Linked DNA regions of Bombyx mori. The protein of the gene in region 2 purifies or fractionates together with the protein of the main gene of each other region. This does not show direct contact. Links are inferred from orthologs where the notes say so. Each region holds a gene or a part of one and is shown on either strand. Other genes may lie near its edges.

Region 1 (7,524 bases), on a different chromosome or scaffold from region 2:
GTTTTGTTATTACTGGTACCACCACCCTGCCTATTTTCTGCCGTGAAGCAATAATGCGTTTCGGTTTGAAGGGTGGGGCAGCCGTCGTAACTATACTTGAGACCTTAGACTTATATCTCAAGGTGGGTGGCGCATTTACGTTGTGGATGTCTGTGGGCTCCAGTAACCACTTCGCACCAAGTGGGCTGTGAGCTCGTCCATACGTCTAAGCAATAAAAAATAAATAAATAAATTGTATGTATATATGTATGTAACGGAATCTTTGAATGTTATACCGACTTCAAGACGTTTGAGGAACGACGACAATGCCGATAATAATTTAAAAAGTACGCTATAATTTCTTGAGCTCTAATAAAAGATGAAATTAGTTGCTATTAATAGCTATATATTGTGGTGTTTCTTTGAATTTCTAATGAATAACTCACCCTTGTTTGCCTTTGTTGTGACTTTGTATTTCATCGTCAATTCCTTCTTCGTGCTTGTAAGTGACCCAATCTAATTTCGATTTTTCTAAGGTAGACAATCTGTTTTTCTTATTTAGTTGACCCAAAACATTAGAAAGTCCACCAGGTTTTGCACTACTTGATGACTGAGCTGTTATATCTGATGTTTGATTTTGGGAACCATCAGATTTAATGGCTAAAATTATAAGTAAGTATAGTATTAAAAATATGGTAAGTCGTCAGTCTATTATGAATGAGCATCAGGCACCAAAGATAAAAAAATATAATGAGTTGCTTCAAAGTTCTGCCACTAGTCACAAACTCCTCATTGAAAGAACCAGCATTTACTAGTAATACCTATTAAATATATGTAGATACTTTGTACATATTCACACATATTATCTTAATACTTAGAACTGCTTAGATAGATTCATTATACTGAATTATTTATGACTATAAAGTTGCACACAAATATATTTTATGGGCTTACATCACAGAACAGTTATATCTGTTAATATTTTGGTATTACAAATTTAACTTTAGTCCTGTTATATATTCTTAACTTTCATTTACAGTGGGAGCTTTAAGTTTACCTTCCATAGATGTTTCGTCAACTTTCAACCGCTCTTTTATGACATTATTTTCTACTACAATTTTTTCACCAGCAAATTCAAAAATCCTTCTTTCTTTTTCTTTGGCATCATCATCATTTGTTTTCTTATAATTTACCGTATTATTGCTTGACCTTTCCGGGTTGGTAACTAAATCAACACTTTTTTCTTTAAGAACTGGTTTAGGCTTTGAATCGGTTCCTTCAAGAAACTTCGCCCACAAATCTTCTTCTCGTTTTTTCTCTTGTTCAGAGTCAACTATTGGTTCAGGTGTTTTATCTTTTTCTGATGTAACTTGTATTATTGTATCATTTTGGCTCTTTCTAGACTTCTTTACTTTATTTATTTTTTCAGCTGTAGCTTTCCGTTTTTTTATTTTGCCTTCAACTTCATGTTCGTATTGTTTTTCAGTTTCATCATCAGCAGATTCCTCTTCAGATAGTTTTTCCGGTTCTCCAGGTACATAGTCTTCGTCGCTCTCACTCCCTGATGACATCTGAAAATAGCAGAACAGAGAATTAATAAAAACTTAAATTCAAGTTCCGATTTTTTGTCTAAATCAATACGAATTATCTTTAAAAAAATACTGCAAGTGTACTACCTACCTACATACTTCAAATTATTCAGTGTTCATTCAGTAATAAATTAAAATATCTCTAATGAAATTGTCAATGGCAGCTTATTATTGAAATATCAGCAAAAAAAATTGAAAATTTAATATTCTGTAAGCAGCATAGTAGAGGATTGTGCTGAAGCTAGTTATTTTCGTAAGCAATTAAAATACTAATAAAAAACAAACACATTAATCTAAAAAGATTTTATTTAAAAAAATGTATTTTCTTGGCATGTTAAACAATAAATTAAGGTAAATTGGGCCTTTTCTTATTTCTATTTCTATTTTTAACATTAGACACTTCATAGAAGTTGCTTCCTGTTTTAGTGCGGCGGTTAGCTCTTTCTATGGCTCTACGTTTCTTTGCAGTCATTTTCTTATTTGAAAACTCATTACTCTGATCGTTAATTTTGTGTTTCTTTCCACTTTGTGCTACTTCTTCTACAGTAAATGCTCCACTGGCAGCTTCTAATTTCTTTCTCTTCATTTCTTTAATTGTTTCGGGATCATTAGTCAAATGGTCTTCCACATCAGAAGTTTCTTTTTCATCATTACTATAGAATTCGCTAATATCTGAAGAGTCGTCTTCATCATCATTTTTTTCTATTTCATCATCACTTTCAATTACTGATGAATTTAGGACACTCTCACCATCTTTAACTTTAATGTCTTCTGATATTACTATTTTACCTAAAGGTTTTATGTCTTCATTGTTGTCAAATTTTAATCCAACTCTTATCTTAGCAAAATCTTGTGCAATCATCAAATTACTTATATGAACAATAGGTTTATCACTATCGTCCGTTTTAGTTTCAGGTTTATTTTTTTCTGCTTTAGTCTCAGTTGTTATCTTTTCTTCTTCGTTTGCAACTTCAACAGTTTTTTCATCTTGTGTTTGCTTAGAGAGTGGTACTTCAAATCCCTCTGGAGCTACATAGAAAGGCAATTTACCTCTCTGCCAATCATTAAGGACCATCCTTGCAACTTGGTTAACATCAGGTTCACCTTTTTTTAACAATTTTCCAGTTCTTGCTGCAAGTTTTTCCAAAAATTCAGTAGCTGTTTCCCATCCATCTACTTTATAAGTCTTCACTAAGTACTCCTTTCTGACTCTTTTAATAACTTCTTCAATATAATCATCAGGATTTTGTACCAGCTCAACCCTCACTACTCCTTTTAATACTTTCTCTGTGTCTGTTTCAGCTGATGGATAAACAACACCCGGACAATCAATCAAGAATATTCTCTTCATTAAGGTGATATACTGCCAAACTTTTGTTTCACCAGCAATTGGGGCTACTTTACAAACTTTTTTAGACCTTAAAGTATTAATCACAGATGATTTTCCTACATTTGGATAACCAATAAAACCTACACTTATTTGTTTCTTGTCAATGTGCAACTTTCCAAATTGACGTAGTAAATTTATAAGTGAGCCTTTACCAAAAGGATGTGTTAATGAAGCATGAAATGCTATCGTTGGATACTCAGCACTGAGAATTGCGACCCATCTCTGTGTCACCCAATTTGGTACCAAATCAACTTTATTCAAGATAAATATAAGATGTTTATGGGGTTTTTCTTCTCTCAAAAATTTTTCAACATAAGGACTTCTTGTCCCAATGGGATCTCTTGCATCAAGAACTTGCAATAACACATCTGATGAGTCAATTACTTTGTATAATTCATTCCATATCCTCCTACTCATTCCAGCCCCAAAAACCCAGTCTCTTTGTCCTTCTTTTACACCTGAATCTTCACGGACTCTGTCAATATCTTTAGTTTCATCATATTTCTCAGAGCTTTCTTCTACCGCTTTATGCAAATCATTTAGATCGCTGAATTTCAAATTTACTCTTTTTCTCTGCTTTTTAGGACCAAATGTCCTATCAAAACCTTCAGTATCTAGAAGGTGAACTCTTGCATTTTTTGCTTTTTCATTAAGTAATGTTATGGGCAAATTCGTTGGTTTCATGATCACTTGATATGGATTTCTTACAGCAGCTCCAAACTCCTCTTGAAATTTTTGCAATGCATTCTGTGATATAACTCTTGAATTTCCAAACCATTTTTGGTTTGGTTCAACGCGTGCCTGTGTGCCTGATGGTAACCAACCTTGAAAGGGTGCTGGCGTTAGAATTTTTCCGGTTTTATCCCTTTTTGCCTTAAAGTTTCGGTACATCTGTAGTCTCTTAATTGTTCCTTTTGATCTCGGGTTGCCTACGCCTTTCAAACCCTCTGTGGGTCGATCAGGGTTCATTGAATGCCCAGACTTATTAAACCCTTGTTTCCGGGGAGCACCCGGAGTCGACCGAACTTTTCCCATATTTGTATGCGATTTAATACACGTTTATGGAAAAAAAAAACTTCTTTTTCACTTTTATTACACAATTAATGATCTTTAATCTACTACAAGAGGTTATGTGTGGACCGTCACATCACATTTTTTTTTTGTCAAACTAACTCAATGTAAAAGTAGCTTACTTCACACTGCACAAAAATATTGTAGGTGTAGCACAAATGAGTTGAAAAATACTTACTATGATGACAAACAAAAAATTCCCAAGTTTGTTTTTTTAGGAACAATATTTACAGCTTTTATTGATTTATGTTGTATTAATACATTAAATTTTATCGATAAGGTACCTTTATGGAAAAGGTTAAAACAAAACGGCAGAGGCGCCAGCAGTAGTTATAAAATAACTATGAACATAGATACAAAGGAGGAGGATAGATTATCAGATTATACCTACATAATTTCTAAATACTGTTTAAAATAGAAATATATTTTGATCTCTGGTTAATGTTCATTGTATTGTCTATGTAATCAATATATTTGTGAAATTTAAACATTACAAAATACTGTCTTATAAATGAATTTATTTATACTTACAGGGAACTTTAGTCTTTAGCTCGAATTAAATTGTTTACGTAGCATACAACTTAATCAAATCAAAAAAATAGTAAATTGTGTTATTTTGAGATACGCTAGTAATACTATTATATATTAAGTTGAGAAAGTACCCTTTAAGAATTTTTAGAACTTTATTCCTAAATAACAGATAAATGCATATTTTATATCTTTAAACTGCTCGTTTATTCTATATATATAATATATAGGTAGCTTTAAGGTTGGTATTAAGTTTGAAAGGTTGAATTGAGAGGGATTAAGTGGGGTAATTGAATATAAATGGTTGTGAGTTTTTAATGTATGTATGGAAGGTAATGTTAAATTTATGAAGGTCAGGTTAGTGTTATTCTTTTTTGGAATATTGTATTAAATTATATACAGGGCGTTAAATGTGTGTTGACGGGGGATGTTGGAGTTTGAATATGAACGTAATGGCAGGCAACACTTGACACATGTAAGGTTACATATTTCGAATATTGGAAGGCTTTTATATGTTTAAAACAAATAATGATGTGAAGACAATTCTCATCTAGACACGGTCAGAGCAACATCTTAGAGTTTTATAAAAATAAAATATTATAATGGTGTAATAGTGTACAAAGTATTTACAATATAATTATATTAAACATGAAGCAGTGTTTTTAAATAACCCCTCACCAGCAGAACCCAGTCCTCTCAAATTTGACCGTCCAAAAAATACCTTCGCCTTTTCAGTTAGAAAAATTTAACCACTAGTATTGTCACGGTAAAAACGTCAAATCTATCGACTGTCAATTCAAAACAATTAATTTCTCGACAGGTTGTACAAACTAGGGAGTAGATAGGTAATATTTCTCCATATTACTTTGTAGTCTTTAGGTAAAGTGGATATTGAGGACAAAAGAATTTACACGTAAATGCTGCATGCTATATATGACAGCTAGCTTTACTATAAATTGTTAAAAAAGTAGTTTTATAAATTGTGAAGACACATAAAATTTCAAACGAATGGATAATGTTGTATAAGTACAACAGTCAAATATTAATGCGTCCAACAGAAACATTAGTTTCTATACCGCTCATACGATTTCTTTGGTAAAGAATAAAGGCCAGATACCCAGATGCCTTTAGTTTCCAAGAAACGAAGGGCAACATGTATGACATGTTGTCTGAATTCAGAGTTTCAGAATTCGATTCATTTGTGGATATATTAAGATTGACTTCTGGTGATCCGTTAGATACGTTTGGTGAAATGTGGTACCCAATGTTCCTTTGGTCATTATGTTCTTCAGTGTTTGTGCACACATGTGCGGCTCTTGTAGCCATTGGAACTCTAAGGAAGCACAAATATGGCAAGTTTTTTCCTGTTCTGCTGATAGTGATGGGTGTAGTTGGTCCAGTGACTTCGGGCGTAGCCTGTAGTGCTGCCATAGCATTTATATACCGTGCTGCTAATATGGCGATGCCTCCCATACATGCTATGGTTTGGGGCATTGGTCAAACTATACTAGGAGCTGGAATAGGATTTACAAGAATTTTAGCAACATTGTAATTTGTAAATATAAATTGCACTGTATTACTATTTTATGAAACAGCTAGCCCACACAGCACATGAAATAAGTGATTGTCAATTAAGTAGTTATTACACTAAGACATCAATTTTTAGCCATATGAAAATAATAAGACAATAGCAAATAACTTGACACTAAGCTAATAATATAATGTAAACATATATTATTCAATTTGATTCTAGTGCTGGTAAATGTGAAATGTTAATGCAAATTTATAAATAATAATGTGTATTTTAAAATAGATGAAATGCTGTAAATATGTAATTATTGAAATAGAATTTTTTAGTGAACTTGACTGATGCTTCAGTGAGACAATTAATATAAATTTGTATTCTTCCATACTGTATGTATAAATAGTGTATATATTATGTGTAAATGATAAAGCATTCCAAGTGAAAATTGTCGATTCAACTGAAATTTTGTATTTGGAAATTCAATTTTTCAAATGAATTCATTACTTTAGATTATTTGATAATCCCACCGTAGTTAAAATGTTTAATGAGATTTACTGTATAATATATAATTTTAAATTGTGTAAAAGAGACATTTATTGAAAGTGTAGCTCTTTGTCTTTGTTTTAATAATGGGATTGTAGTGCCCCACTCAATTCAAGACATAACCATATAAAATTATAATTGTACTTATTTTAATAAGATTACCAAAAAACAAACCCATGTGTTTAATTTATTCAAAGGATTTTTTTTGTAAGAAGCAAGAATGATTGTGTACCTGCCTTCTTAAATTTCAGTAATTGTCATTATATTATGTATAAGTTTTGTGGCAATAAATTGGCATAGTATTTGGTGTATGTAGTGTTATTAAAAAAAAATAGAAGTGTAATTGTCTGTTATAAAAAATTTGGAACAATATATACCTAAATACTTTAAATTTTTGATGGATTACCTACTAAGAAAATGTCCTTTACTCCTTGTATATAAGTCAAAACATTATTTAAAGAAAATTCAAAACAGTTAATAAAAAGAACAATGTCATTTTTAAACCAGAAATAAACTGCTTTTTTAAATTTTTTTTTTATTGTTTTCTATAACTTTGAGTTGTATAGCTTTGAATATTAAATAAAGAAATAGCTGTTACTTGATCATTTATGTTGCCTTAGAAAAAAATGACAAAATAAGCACCCAATTTCTACTAATTGAGCTACACTCTAGTTGTCAATGAATTTTGCTATTAAGGCTTTTTTTAAATATTACATTCTTACAGCCCATCCAACTGCTAAGTGGTCACTGGGGTCCATATGCCATACCTACCTACTTTCAAAGAACGTGCACATGTACAGCATGGCCGTCATTTGTAAACATGTAGCAATACATGTCTCAGAAAGTATTAAAACTGTGCTCTAATATAAGTCTTGAACCCTGTCAATCACTCAATAATG
Region 2 (7,397 bases):
AGATATAAGTTCTAAGGTCTCAAGTATACTTACAACGGCTGCCACACCCTTCAAACCGAAACGCATTACTGCTTCACGGCAGAATTATGCAGGGTGGTGGTACCTTCCCGCGCGGACTCACAAGTGGTCCTACCACCAGTAATTACGCAAATTACAATTTTGCGTTTTGATTTTTATTACACGATGTTTTCCTTTGCCGTGGAAATCAATCGTGAACATTTGCTGAGTAGGTACGTATTTCATTAGAAAAACTGGTACCTGCCTGAGATTCGAACACCGGTGCATCGCTCAACACGTCTTATCTTCTAGGCCACGACGACTTCAAATGTGGTAAAATTAACTGTCCAATTGTCCAGTCTAATCGCTGGTAGCCTAAGGGACTATTTCAATTGCTTTCGGCCTCGGTTTTCTACCACAGCCGAGACCGCATGGGATTGAAATTACGCTCTATATAGCAACTATAGTTGGACACGGGAACGGTCGGTACTCATTGATTCCGACATTGATATTTCTCAATCGGTGATAGTGGTCTAAAAGTGGCAATATCAAATCCCAGGGGAGAATCAATTTTCATGTTATTAGATTGTAGGTACAACGACGAAAGGAACATCTTCCACCGAGCGGGTGATATTGCTCGGTAGACCGACGATCCGAACGTTGTTGTTCGGAACTAGTACATATGCAAACTTATCTTGAAAATGTCGTAAGCGAGATTCAGGCATTTGTCAAATATCTTGTGTTGTGCGATGGCTACCGCCACAAGACAATTAGTACATGTTTACGAATGAATTATTTAATTTAATATTTAAAAAAAAAAAACATATTTAAATAAAAAAAAAAGACTTGTCCGCTGAGTTTCTTGCCAATTCTTCTCAGGACGGAGGCTAGTTTTTGTGAATTGGCGGTAGTTCTTTTGACGTTCAACAAGTATTTACTTTCATTTATGTTGAATAAAAAAAATTTGATTTGATTTGATTGATTCGAATTCCAAAATAAAGGAGTAACATCGAGAAAGAGCAAATCGTGGTAAAATATAATTTGAGTACCTAATTACTCGTTAGAGTAGGGTAGGTAGGTACTGCCACCCTGCCTATAATCAGTAATGGATTCCAGTTGAAGGGTAGGTAAGAATATTGTATAGTGAACAATTGACTCTAGATCTTAGTGGGTGCGGCATTCGCGTTGTGATGTCTGCTGACTCCGGAAACCACTTAACGTCAAATGAGCCGTAGGTTTGTATAGGTACCAGTCTATAATAAAATTACAAATGTTACGACGCCGCGAGACGGGCTTGGATCAATGTCGAATTGTGCGATTGACCTACTAAGATATGGTTCTTCGTGTGCCTATGGATTATGGCAAACACCTTCACCGTTTAAATAAATATAATGAAGTTGGTGGGTGTAAATGACTTTTAAATAAATATCCACAATTTTATTACATTTTTAGGTTATATAATGTTTTTACTTTATGTCTTAGGATTAAGAGGAAAGTTATAAATACACAAAAAAGAACACATGGGAAACAGGTCTTTAGAAATTGTAAAATTTTCTTTCATGTTTCAAATCCATATAAAAATTCATTCAATGAGCAATACCCTATTTTTGTCAACCCTCACATTAGGAGCACTCTTCAGTTTTTTTATAAATTTATCAGCAATTCTATCATCAATCTCTTGGCCAGTAGCTTCACTATATTCAGCTAATACTTTCTTCTGAAGCCTTTTAAATGGGACTTCATTATCTTTCTTCTGCAAAACTGACATAATAACTGCGTGCCAGTTAAATTTGCCATTGTTCTCAGCATTAACCTCTTCGATTCTGGCAACATTCTGATCGTGGAGACACAAACTTGCATCTTCTTTTGCTTCCTCATCCTTCTTCTTCTTCTTTTTGGTTTTTTCTGCTGGCACTTTAGTTTCAATGTTATCAGCGACAACTTCAACAGCCGGCACTCCGTTCAAACTATTAACTGTATCTTGACGTTTACGTTTCTTCTGCTTTTTAGTCTCCGTTGCCTCTACTGTGTCACCATTCTGTGATTCAGTCCTGTTCTTCTTTTTCTTACCTTTTTTTCCTTCATTTTCAATCTCATCCTCAACTGGGGGAGCTTCAGCACTATGCAATTCTGCTTCATACTTCTGACGTTTCTTCTCTTCTTTGCGTTGTTTTTTGGACAGCTTTTTTAGATCACCAACATCATTACCATTAGGATTTTCAACATTTTTTACATCAGCATCATCATTCTGAGAGTTATTTTCTTTATTCTGCTCATCATTTTCTTTATTCTGTTCACCATTTTCTTTATTCTGTTCCCCATTTTCTTTATTAACTTCACCATTGGTAATATTGCCTTTATTTAGATTCTGAGTTACGTTTGATAAATCTGTAAGCTTTACAGAAATAAATTCCCAAGCTTGGTCAATGTCTTTTGGATTAGTTTTATGTCCACAGACATTTTTGACAAAATTAATAAACTTAGGCTTCTTTCGTGGTGTATTGTTATGCTTGCTTATTGTCTCAATAATCCTACGTACATTTTGAGGTGCACTTTTTTGCTCATCTAAAACTGACTGCAACATCTCCACCCAAGCATTTTGTTTTTTCTCACCCTTTTTCTCCTTAGCTGTGAAACCTTTTCCAGAGTATCTTTCTTCTTCAGTAATGCACTTGATATGCGATTCATAATCTTTTCCTCTGTAATAATGTAATGAAATAAAAACACAATTTAAAAATTCACACAGTTTAAAAAATAGAATATTATTAATGCCTTTTCATAAATAAACTAATCACTTCAATCAAAATGGTTTTTCATTAGCATAGCACCAGTAATTAAAACATTTCATTACCATGACACTACAAATTATAAGTCTGCAAGGGTTACTAGCATTCTGCCAAGTTCTGTCTATTTTGGACATCCATTACACAGTACAAATGGGACTTTGACCTCATGTCTGACATTTGTGGCAGTTATGTTCTATACGGACTCCAGTAATTGTTTAGAACAATGTAGCCTCACCCTAAAGTTAATTTTGGTATTGCCTTTTATTATAATCTCTTTTTGGCTGTGGGGACCGAATTGATGCGCCAAGAATGCTAAACAGCTCATAGCAGTTTGCCACAAGAATGCCTAGTTGTCAACAGTCATTGGCAAACAATAACTCTCGTCTGTCATCTCAGTAGGTCATGCGGACCTACTGAGTTTCCCTAGCTAGACTAAAACCAGTCGCACTTCATTATGCTCTCGGTCCAAAAACTGAGGATTGATGCACTAGGCTCACAATGATTGCACTGCATGCCTTTTATTTTTCTTTCAGGCCGGGTGTCGAAACTCATACGATGTCTCCGCGCCTACGGGGACGCTGGGTATGTGGGACTTGACGATCTGCAGATGCTGGAAGCAGATCACAGGCCCAAGGATATTTGCATGCCTGGCCTGGCCCAACCTAAACTAACTAGAAAGTATCATATTATTGCTAGCTTATTATTTCGGAGCTATAATTAAAGTATTGATATCCAATCAAGACCGAAATACTCACAGAAAATCTTTGAAACAGTCCATACATGACAAATTTGGATTTTTATTCCTACATTTAGTGAGATAATGCTTTTCCACTTTGGGCTTCTGAACAGACTCCCCACAATGACTGCATGTAAAAACAACCATTTCTTGTAAAACACGTGTGAATTGGGGCTATTTGTTTTGAATGCAAAATGTATAACCTGAAAATCGATATTGATATATTTGAAACTGTCGTCTTTTACTTTTATTGTAAATTGAAATGTACAAAGATTTGAAGAACCTTAAATTTAAAAATGATCAGTATTTTATTTTCACTCGTGTATGTAGTTTTATGGATTACCGTTTTATATTTTTGTAAACTTTTATGTGTCAAACTATTTTTTGTGTAGCAAATAGCAATTGGCAACAAAATACATTTTCTATTTTTTCAGTATGGCAATAGTGTCGAATTTTTGCCAATCCCTTCATTCCATTACTTCAAACATGATAGTGAATATTAGTGAAAGATGAGGCGGAATGAAACTGATGTAATAGAAATTGTAATCTATTGTAATCCAATTTAGTGAAATAACATCACAGTAAATTGGCGAGAATTCAATGAAACTTTAGAGGGCTTTTTAGATGATGAACACGACAAGCGACGTCCCCGACTTGCTTCATTTTCCCACACTTGTGCACTTTCACAAATAAAGGATTCTAAACGGTTAACAAGCCTTCAATATAACATGTTCAAAGCTGAAGAAATACTAAACAAATTTCAATTTCCACATCTTCATTTTTTCACGTTCCCACAAAGCCATAATACATACTATGTATGTGCATGCACAGTGCACTTAGTCGGCAATCGACATTATTATTGAATCCCTTGGACTGGCTTAAGGACTGATGCCCATACAAAACAATGGAACAAAGACAGACACCACACGGCAGCATACTGTGATATGAAAAATAAAGTGAAATTGGTTTTGGAGTGAAATTTAATAAAAAATGTAATGATAAAAGAGGAGAAAAGACAGTACCAGCAGGTGTTGGATGAGATGAAATGAAATAACATCTCAGCGAAATGGTGGGGATTTCACAAATGCTACAATTATAATAAACGGAGCGAATCCCCTTCTACCATATGAAAAATGAATGACAAGAAGTAGATCAGAGAAGATTAAGACAACAGACAACTTCCGACCACACGATACATGTCACAATAATTGAATACAGTATTAATTATTGTGGCATTAGCATGAAGCCCATTAGCAGAAATATTAACCCACTTAAATGAGTAAATTTGACAATTAAAAAATATCAGTACAATTTACTGTACCCTTTGAAGTAAAGTAATACCTATTAAACGAGTTAAATAATGTTTGATTAACTTCTGAAGATAGCAATGTTTGATAAAAAAAATTAAGAATGAAATACTAAGATGGATGATGAACGAAAACTGTTGATTTAAGCTGTTGTACAGAGTACATTGAAGAACAATTAAAAGGCCTCTAAGCTTATTTATCAAATGTTTTATCTGTGCTCTAATGCCGGCCACTGACATGCGCGCAAATATTCGTACATTGTACGAATGCATGCGCGCAAATATTCGTACATTGTACGAATGTTTGCGCGCATGTGAAGGGCCGTCAAACATTCATTCGCAAACCTAGCGGCTGTGCAAATGGGTTCGTATACTCAATTTGCGAACCCGTTTGCGCTTCCTCCTACACTTGTTTACGAATGTCTCACGAATTTCTCCTCCTTTTTAATTCGTCAATAGAACATTGAAAAGAAAAAGAGTTTTGAATTCTTTCCCAAACATCATTAACAGCCATGCTGTTTTATGGGATTTCTTTTGATGAAGATACGCTACACAGTAGACGTCACGAACTATGAAAATGGCGATACGTCCGTTACCTTCGCAATCGTCGGCGCAACTGGGCAAGCGAATGTGTGGGAGACTACGCGAAGGTTCGAGGTTCGCGCGCTTTGATGTCTGTTAAAAAATCGACACAGCTTGAAAAACCACGAATGCAGCGAAAACTTTGCATAATGATTCGCAAATGTCGTCCTACACTTGCGGGTTTGCGTATTCGTGCGCATGTGAGTGACCGGTGTAAGCGATCTGACTGAGATTATATTAAACTACCCACGGAAATAAACAACATTCTCAAGTTTTGGTATGGGAACCAGATCAACAATGTGCGATGGGCTGGGGCTTTGTCTCTTCCGTATAGGTTGGAGTGCGGGGTGAGACAAGGGGGATTGAGCTCGCCTACGCTCTTCAACCTGTATATGAACGAGCTGATCGGCGAACTCAGTAGGACCAGGATTGGTTGTTTCATAGACGGGGTGTGCGTAAACAACATCAGCTACGCAGACGATATGGTGCTGCTGAGCGCGTCTATCTGTGGCCTAAGGCAACTTGTTTCTTTGTGTGAGGGATACGCCAAATCACACGGTTTGGTGTACAACTGTAAAAAGTCGGAGATCATGGTCTTTGAGACCAGGGGTGGGATGCATGATAAAATACCTCACGTAGTACTCAACGGAACGCCATTGACAAGAGTTTATAAATTTAAATATCTCTGCCATGTGTTGACCCCTGATCTCAAAGATGATGAAGATATTGAACGAGAGCGGAGAGCGTTGTCGGTTAGAGCAAACATGATAGCTCGCAGGTTTGCACGGTGTTCACTTAAAGTCAAGGTCACCCTCTTTAAGGCCTACTGTACTAACTTTTACACGTGTAGCTTGTGGGCTGGATATACTCAAAGATCGTACAACGCTCTCCGTGTTCAATATAATAACGCGTTTAGGGTGCTGGTGGTGCTGCCCCGCTTTTGTAGCGCATCAGGGATGTTTGCAGACGCGCACATAGATTGTTTTTACGCTACCATGCGTAAGAGGTGTGCATCTCTGGTAAGCAGAGTGAGGGCCAGCTCCAACAGTATCCTGAGCATGATCGCAAGCAGGCTGGGCTGTGTATACATGGGTCGCTGTGGTGTCATCTCCCATGGGATGTTACGACAGTAATTCATTGTGATGTAAATATAACTACTAACATAGGTCTAAGTCTTATTAACAATTTATATGAATCATGGTTACTTGCAATAAAAACATTATTATTATTATTATTATATTTTATCTCACATTAACTCATTTCATTTCGTGCCATCCCATGTTTCATAATAATAAACTTTATTTCATTTCACTTCATATTACCATTTTTTATAAAAATAAGAATATAAATTAAAATAAGACTTGACCTAAAGGTTACCAGGGCAAAAAATAGTTTAAAAAAAGTTTAATGTTTGGGTGTGTCTAAATATTTGCAAACACATTTAATAACCGAAATTAAATTCGGAAATAAATATGTTTAGAGTGAAACTTGAACTTGATATTATGTAAAGTAACAATCTGGTACAGAGAATACAATGGCAGCTATTTTTTCATTTACAATTTTATGTTTTATTACCGGTAAGTTTGTACTGCAACCGCACCTTTACGCTTATTTATGATTTAGTGTAATCAACTAGATATAAACTGTTGGAAAAAAAAAAGATTCTTCATAATAAAAGAAATCGAAAATTTTATTCAATCGAATTCAATTCAATTCATTAGTTTATAACGTTTCAGCTCAAACTTCAGCTAACTACTTTGGCAGCGAAAATGTTAACAAAATAGGAAGCATCCAAAGGAAAGAAGGTCAAGATCTAATAACATGGTGCACTATATCAGCATTGGAACAAAAAAAATGTGAAAAACTTATGAAGAGTTCTTTGCAGGATAAAGGACTTTTTGGGAATGATTATATTGAGTTGCAGTGTAAAAAGGTATGAAATTAATTCAATTTTATTTCACGATTGATTAAGTGATAGTGAAGCAAGCTA
Region 3 (6,164 bases), on a different chromosome or scaffold from region 2:
ACGTGCATGAGCGACGGTGACCACTTACCATCAGGTGTATGCTCGTCTGCCTACAAAGGCAATAAAAAAAAAAAACAAAAAAACATATGGGACAGAGAAAGCGACTTTGTTTTATACTATGTAATGATACTGGGAGACCACTTCCGAAAACAAAGACAGACGATAGTAGAAATGACACCTTTGATGATGGGAAGTGATGAGAAGGAAAAAAATCGATCCTGATTTAAAAAAAAAAAAACATATTTTTAAAAGGTTTTTTTAGCATTATTTACACTCCATCGTGTAGTTTCATAAAATAGTATTAGTAGTTTCATAAAAAATACATTACTAAAAAAAAACCAGCAATGAAACACAAAATGAAAAACAGCTGATGCTCGGGTCAACGCCCGCGCGCTGTGCAGCGCAGACTCGCGCGATCCCACAAATCTATATATTAAATACGTGAAGCAAAAACCTTGTACCCCTTTTTACGGAAATTGCGCGGACGGAGGAGTATGGAATTTCTCACACTTATAGAGAATGTAGAGAAGGAGTGCAGAATATTACTATTTTATAAAATTATGCATAAAAAATACATTAAATCGAAAAAAAATAATTACACACACTACCATCTATTTGACACACACGCGCATGCATACTATTTTTTTATTGTCAAACTTTTCTCATTGCTTAGTCTGTTGTCAAATTGAGAATAGATTTTTTTTATTTTTTTTTATTGCCTTTGTAGGCAGACGAGCATACGGCCCACCTGATGGTGAGTGGTCACCGTCGCTCATGGACGTCAGCAATGCCAGGGGCAGAGCCAAGCTGCTGCCTACCATAAAGTACTCTCCGCAACCCTCGTTTGAAGAAGGACATGTCATAGCGCTCGGGAAACACCGCGGAGGGGAGTTCATTCCAAAGCCGGATGGGTACGTGGCAAAAAAGATCTTTGGAAACGCACTGTCGATGAACGCAGCGGTTCCAGATAATATGGATGAACCCTATTGTTCGTCTTTAACATTTTTGTCTAAAGTGTAATCTTGGCGAGATTTGTGATTAAAGAATTATAATAGTATTTGCCAATAGAACCATATTAGTATACAAACTTATAATTTCAATTAATTATAGTCGAATTTCGACTTTGCCGCTGTGCTAGTCTTTACCTAGAATATCTGTCGCTCATGTGTACATGAAAGTCTAAATGAAACAACCCCAAAAACTAAAAATACTAAACAAAATCAATCCCGCCAAAACAAACCGCTCCTTTTGCGGTGGGATCCAGACCACAGATCAATAAAGCATTAGACATTCCCAACTTTTATTTTATAAGCTTAGTTAACCCTACTGACTAGTTTTTTTGTGGAAGGACCTCTTGTGAGTCCGCACGGGTAGGTACCACCGCCCCGCTTATTTCTGCCGTGAAGCAGTAATGCGTTTCGGTTTGAAGGGTGGGGCAGCCGTTGTGACTATACTGAGACCTTAGAACTTATATCTCAAGGTGTGTGGCGCATTTACGTAGTAGATGTCTATGGGCTCCAGTAACCACTTAACACCAGGTGGGCTGTGAGCTTGTCCACACGTCTAAGCAATAAAAAAAAACTATTTAATACAACAATACAAAATCAATTGTATCCTGATGTAAGAAGAAACTAGTTACTACAAAAATGATAGAATATTAAATTAACCTAATCAGATACTCGTATACACAATTATAAAAACTATTTAATATTTATCTTTGATTTTGTACAAGAAATTAAAAATTAAATGGTACAGAATAATTTGATAGTTAAAACTGATTGCAATTATGATCGACAATTAATTAATCTGTCGGAATGCATTTAAAATGATCCTACCTTCTAGTACATTTACGGGTTCGTTGTTGCGTGACGTCACGTATTTAGCATAACAAGTACCCGGCGATGCTTGGGTCCTGATAAATATTATTAAAATGCTATAAACTACGCTTGTTAGAAATCTCATTCGAATCGTTCAATCATTTTTTTTTTATTGCCTATGTGTGTACGAGCTCACAGCCCACCTGGTGTTAAGTGGTTACGGAAGCCCATAGGCATCTACAACGTAAATGCGCCATCTACCTTGAGATATCAGTTCTAAGGTCTCAAGTATAGTTACAACAGCTACCCCACCCTTCGAACCGAAACGCATTACTGCTTCACGGCAGAAATAGGCAGGGTGGTGGTACCTACCCGCGCGGACTCACAAGAGGTCCTACCACCAGTAATTACGCAAATTATAATGTTTGCGGGTTTGATTTTTATTACACGATGTTATTCCTTCACCGTGGAAGTCAATCGTGAACAATTGTCAAGTCCATATTACATTAGAAAAATTGGTACCCACCTGCAGGATTTGAACACCGGTGCATCGCTCAACACGAATGCACCGGACGTCTTATCCGTTAGGCCTCGACGACTTTTAAAAACACTACCATGAACTACCATATTTTACTTTAATCCAGCGCAATGAACTCCGTTTAAAAATGGCATTGATAGCGGGTTGGGTTGCATTCCCTGTGGCCCGATACTATCACTTGACCCCATTGGGCTACATTAAGGATATTCAGCTAGTAGCTTGGCTCTGTCCCTGGCATTGCTGATGTCCATGGTCGACGGTAACCATTCACCATCAGGTGGATACGGTCTGCCTATAAGGACAATAACAAAAACAAAAAACCACCACCAATAAAACAAGATCTATAGTATAAATATATATATTGGTAAAGAGCACTGTCCACTGATGCACTATCTCCGGTCCGTCTTGCCGACCCCACGTTTTCCAGCGAACAGATGCTTCGGCATCTTGGTGCCGATGAACCGGTCCGCCTCTCCCTTGAGGCCCATCTTCTTGGTCTTCTTGGCGATGGCCGCGTGCGCCATCCTCTTTACTTTCACGCGCATCTGTTTTAAAAACATTTTATTATTATGTATATTTTTTTTTACTATTAGTGATCGATGATTGGTCAATAATCTCATTATGCAACATAGTGCATCAATCGATAAATAAAAGACCCTAAACTTTTTTATAAAATAAACTAAAAACAAACAAAAGGAATCAGTCCGACGGGGGACACATCAAAGGGAAAACAAAATTGTTATTTTTTTTTAATTCCGAGGAGCATTTTCATATTTATCTACCTTTTAAACCTTCTCTGAACTTCCACAAATAATTCAAGACCAAAATTAGCCAAATCGGTCCAGCCGTTCTCGAGTTTTAGCGAGACTAACGAACAGCAATTCATTTATATATATATATATATATATATATATATATATATATATATATATATATATAGATAAGATAATTAAACTTCGAATACAAACAAAATTAGCAAGCTAAAATAAAAATAATCACTAAACCATTGTCGAGTGCAGGTATGAGACCAAAATAATAATATTACTATATTGTCACCAGTCATTGACCCGTGTGCATTGTCAAGTCAATCTCACCTTTTGAACTTGATGAATGTCACGTTGAGCGGTTCCATTACACAGGCATATAGATAGTGGACGAGCCAGTAGAGGCATTATGAACTTATAAACATACAATACTGTTTTAATAGACTAATTTTAATTAAACTTTGTAGGAAACCTTGTTCTTGTATGTCTCCTCCGTGCAACCAAGGCATACAAGGGTTATTTTGGATATCAAGGACCGGTATACAAAAAAAACTTGCAACTATTTTTTATTTATTGCTTAGAAGATGTGCGGACGAGCTCACAGCCCACTTGGTGTTAAGTGGTTACTGGAGCCCATGGACATCTACAACGTAAATGCGCCACCCACCTTGAGATATTAAGGTCTCAGTACAGTTACACGGCTGCACCACCCTTCAAACCGAAACGCATTACTGCTTCACGGCAGAAATAGGCGGGGCGTACCTACCCGCGCGGACTCACAAGAGGTCCAAACACCAGTTTGCATGTAGAGGTCTCTAAATAAGCGGTAGTGAGGTCAATGTGGCGGGTACTCACGATGGGGTCGGCCACCGGCTGGTTGGAGGGTTCCCGCGCGCGCTTGGCGGGCGGCGCGGAGAGCGAGCGGGAGCGGGAGCGGGGGCGGGCGCGGGTGAAGTGCGCGTCGCCGGTCTCCGACATGTCCACGCCTGGAGCGACACATACAAACGTTATATTCAATAACTTAAAATAGTATCTCGATCACTATTATCGGGCAATGTTAGTATCCGGCCTACGAGAAACAATCACACAGTCAAACATCTATTTTAGGACGCTTAAATAAGCGGCCCTAAATATGACGGCGACAATAATAAAATGTTTATTTTATGTAAAAATTTACAATGCTTTTTTTTATGGGATTTTATGACCTGGTAACTAAGACCTAAGAATTTATTTTCTTATTTTTATTAAAATTGATAATATGGAGTGAAATGAAATGAAATAAAGATGATTAATTTGAGACATTAATCAACTGGGATGAAATTGAATGAAATGAGATGAAATATAATCTCAGTAAAATCATCATCACCAAAATCGGTCATTTACTGTAATTTTTTTTTAGTGGACTTTTTGGAGGAACCCGTGAAGTTACGTCCAGCGGCTTTGTTTCATTTTCCCACATTTATGCACTTTCAAGAGAGAGAGAGAGAGAGAGAGAGAGCGATCTCTTCCAGACTCTTTTGCTTCTTTACACATAAATAGAGTAAATAGAGTCCACAAGTTCAAAGTTGTTGACTCGACTAGACCTCAACATGTGGGTGCGTGCTCACTAGCGCGTCGTCCCGGTGTACAACTGAAACACGTACCAAGTTTCTCCATGTCCTTCCTGAGCTTGGAGGTGGACCTCTGCTTGGTCTTGGCTCGCGAGGTGCGCGGCATCACCGGCTTCGTGGACTGCTTCACCAGGCGAGACTCGTCCTTGAGAATGGCCTTCTTGTTGCTAAACACAAGGAGATGATTACAGTAGATCGGGGGGAATTGAGACTAGTGTTAGAATTGGGACAAATCTGGGATGTCACAATACTTTTGTTGACTTGTTAGTTTCAACTTTGTTGAATTGAAAATTAATTTTATTTAGTGTTTAAGAATATTAAATAGTTTAATTTAGTCATCAACCTAACAAATAAATAGTGGCAGCCCTATCGAAAAACTATTGTCCCTAATGTAACCTGATACACCCTAAAGCCAAGGTGAATCGGGTCAAGCTAGTTTTTTCAGTTTTTGTGTATACTTTGTAACGAACTATGTATAATAACGCATCGTATTAAGCCTCCGGAACCATTTTAATCTCAATTTTATTGGTATAACCCTTAGAAAGTACCGTAAGTTAGTATTACCCTTTGAAGTCGTCGTGGCCTAAAGGATAAGACGTCCGGTGCATTCGTGTTGAGAGATGCACCGGTGTTCGAATCCCGCCGGCGGGTACCAATTTTTCTAATGAAGTACGTACTCAACAATTGTTCACGGTTGACTTCCACGGTGAAGGAATAACATCGTGTAATAAAAATCAAACCCGCAAAATTATAATTTACGTAATCACTAGTGGTAGGACCTCTTGTGAGTTCACGCGAGTAGGTACCACCACCCCGCTTATTTCTGCCGTGAAGCAGTAATGCGTTTCGATTTGAAGGGTGGGGCAGCCGTTGTAACTGTATTGAGATCTTAGAACTTATATCTCAAGGTGGGTGTAGCGCATTTACGTCGTAGATATCTATGGGCTCCAGTAACCACTTAACACTAGGTGGGCTGTGAGCTTGTCCACTCATCTAAGCAATAAAAAAAATTGTTGGATTTGGAAAGGGTCCCGAATCCCCCTCAATCTACAGTATTTAGAACCTACAATGGCTACAATGAGTGGGGGCGGGTTGAGGGTGCCGGGGCTCACCGTATCTGCCGGGCCAGTTCCCTGATCTCCCTCACGGTGTCGTCCAGCTCGATCTTGGGCGCGGCGTACATGCCGCCAGCCTCGCGCAGTTCCTCGTCCTTCTCCAACTCTGCCAGTTTCTGGTAAAATTACGATACCTTTAAATTCTAATCTAAATTTTCAATTTAAGTAAAACTTTGAGCACATATCCAAAAAGTCTAAAAACTAGTTTTTTTTTAATACACTAACATAATGTTACGCCGGTAAAAGTAACGCCATCTATCGCCGAATAGTCGAACGAATGTCGAAGGACCTAGAACGCTCGAGAATTACAACGCCATCTA

The links.
Region 1: the proteins of cell growth-regulating nucleolar protein (region 2) and uncharacterized protein LOC101746403 purify together in Homo sapiens (affinity purification with mass spectrometry; 3 studies listed by BioGRID and IntAct, with this or other methods). This does not show direct contact. The link is inferred for Bombyx mori from reciprocal best matches to the Homo sapiens genes LYAR and GNL2.
Region 3: the proteins of cell growth-regulating nucleolar protein (region 2) and nucleolar GTP-binding protein 1 purify together in Homo sapiens (co-immunoprecipitation; 3 studies listed by BioGRID and IntAct, with this or other methods). This does not show direct contact. The link is inferred for Bombyx mori from reciprocal best matches to the Homo sapiens genes LYAR and GTPBP4.

Annotation. Positions count from the first base shown.
Region 1 is NC_085117.1:10,939,635-10,947,158, forward strand, and holds the start of uncharacterized protein LOC101746403, read right to left. Parts: upstream 4,396-7,524; 5' UTR 3,994-4,395; coding exon 1,960-3,993; intron 1,551-1,959; coding exon 1,037-1,550; intron 640-1,036; coding exon 426-639; intron 1-425. Other genes in the region: transmembrane protein 170A, read left to right, coding at 5,711-6,109. UniProt on the Homo sapiens protein: GTPase that associates with pre-60S ribosomal subunits in the nucleolus and is required for their nuclear export and maturation.
Region 2 is NC_085132.1:5,508,469-5,515,865, reverse strand, and holds cell growth-regulating nucleolar protein, read right to left. Parts: upstream 4,012-7,397; 5' UTR 3,863-4,011; exon of another isoform or gene 3,803-3,862; intron 3,723-3,802; 5' UTR 3,667-3,722; coding exon 3,539-3,666; intron 2,697-3,538; coding exon 1,580-2,696; 3' UTR 1,413-1,579; downstream 1-1,412. Other genes in the region: transferrin 2, read left to right, coding at 6,942-6,984, 7,144-7,340. UniProt on the Homo sapiens protein: Plays a role in the maintenance of the appropriate processing of 47S/45S pre-rRNA to 32S/30S pre-rRNAs and their subsequent processing to produce 18S and 28S rRNAs. Also acts at the level of transcription regulation.
Region 3 is NC_085108.1:541,270-547,433, reverse strand, and holds the end of nucleolar GTP-binding protein 1, read right to left. Parts: intron 5,961-6,164; coding exon 5,842-5,960; intron 4,897-5,841; coding exon 4,763-4,896; intron 4,106-4,762; coding exon 3,975-4,105; intron 2,901-3,974; coding exon 2,745-2,900; 3' UTR 2,698-2,744; downstream 1-2,697. UniProt on the Homo sapiens protein: Involved in the biogenesis of the 60S ribosomal subunit. Acts as a TP53 repressor, preventing TP53 stabilization and cell cycle arrest.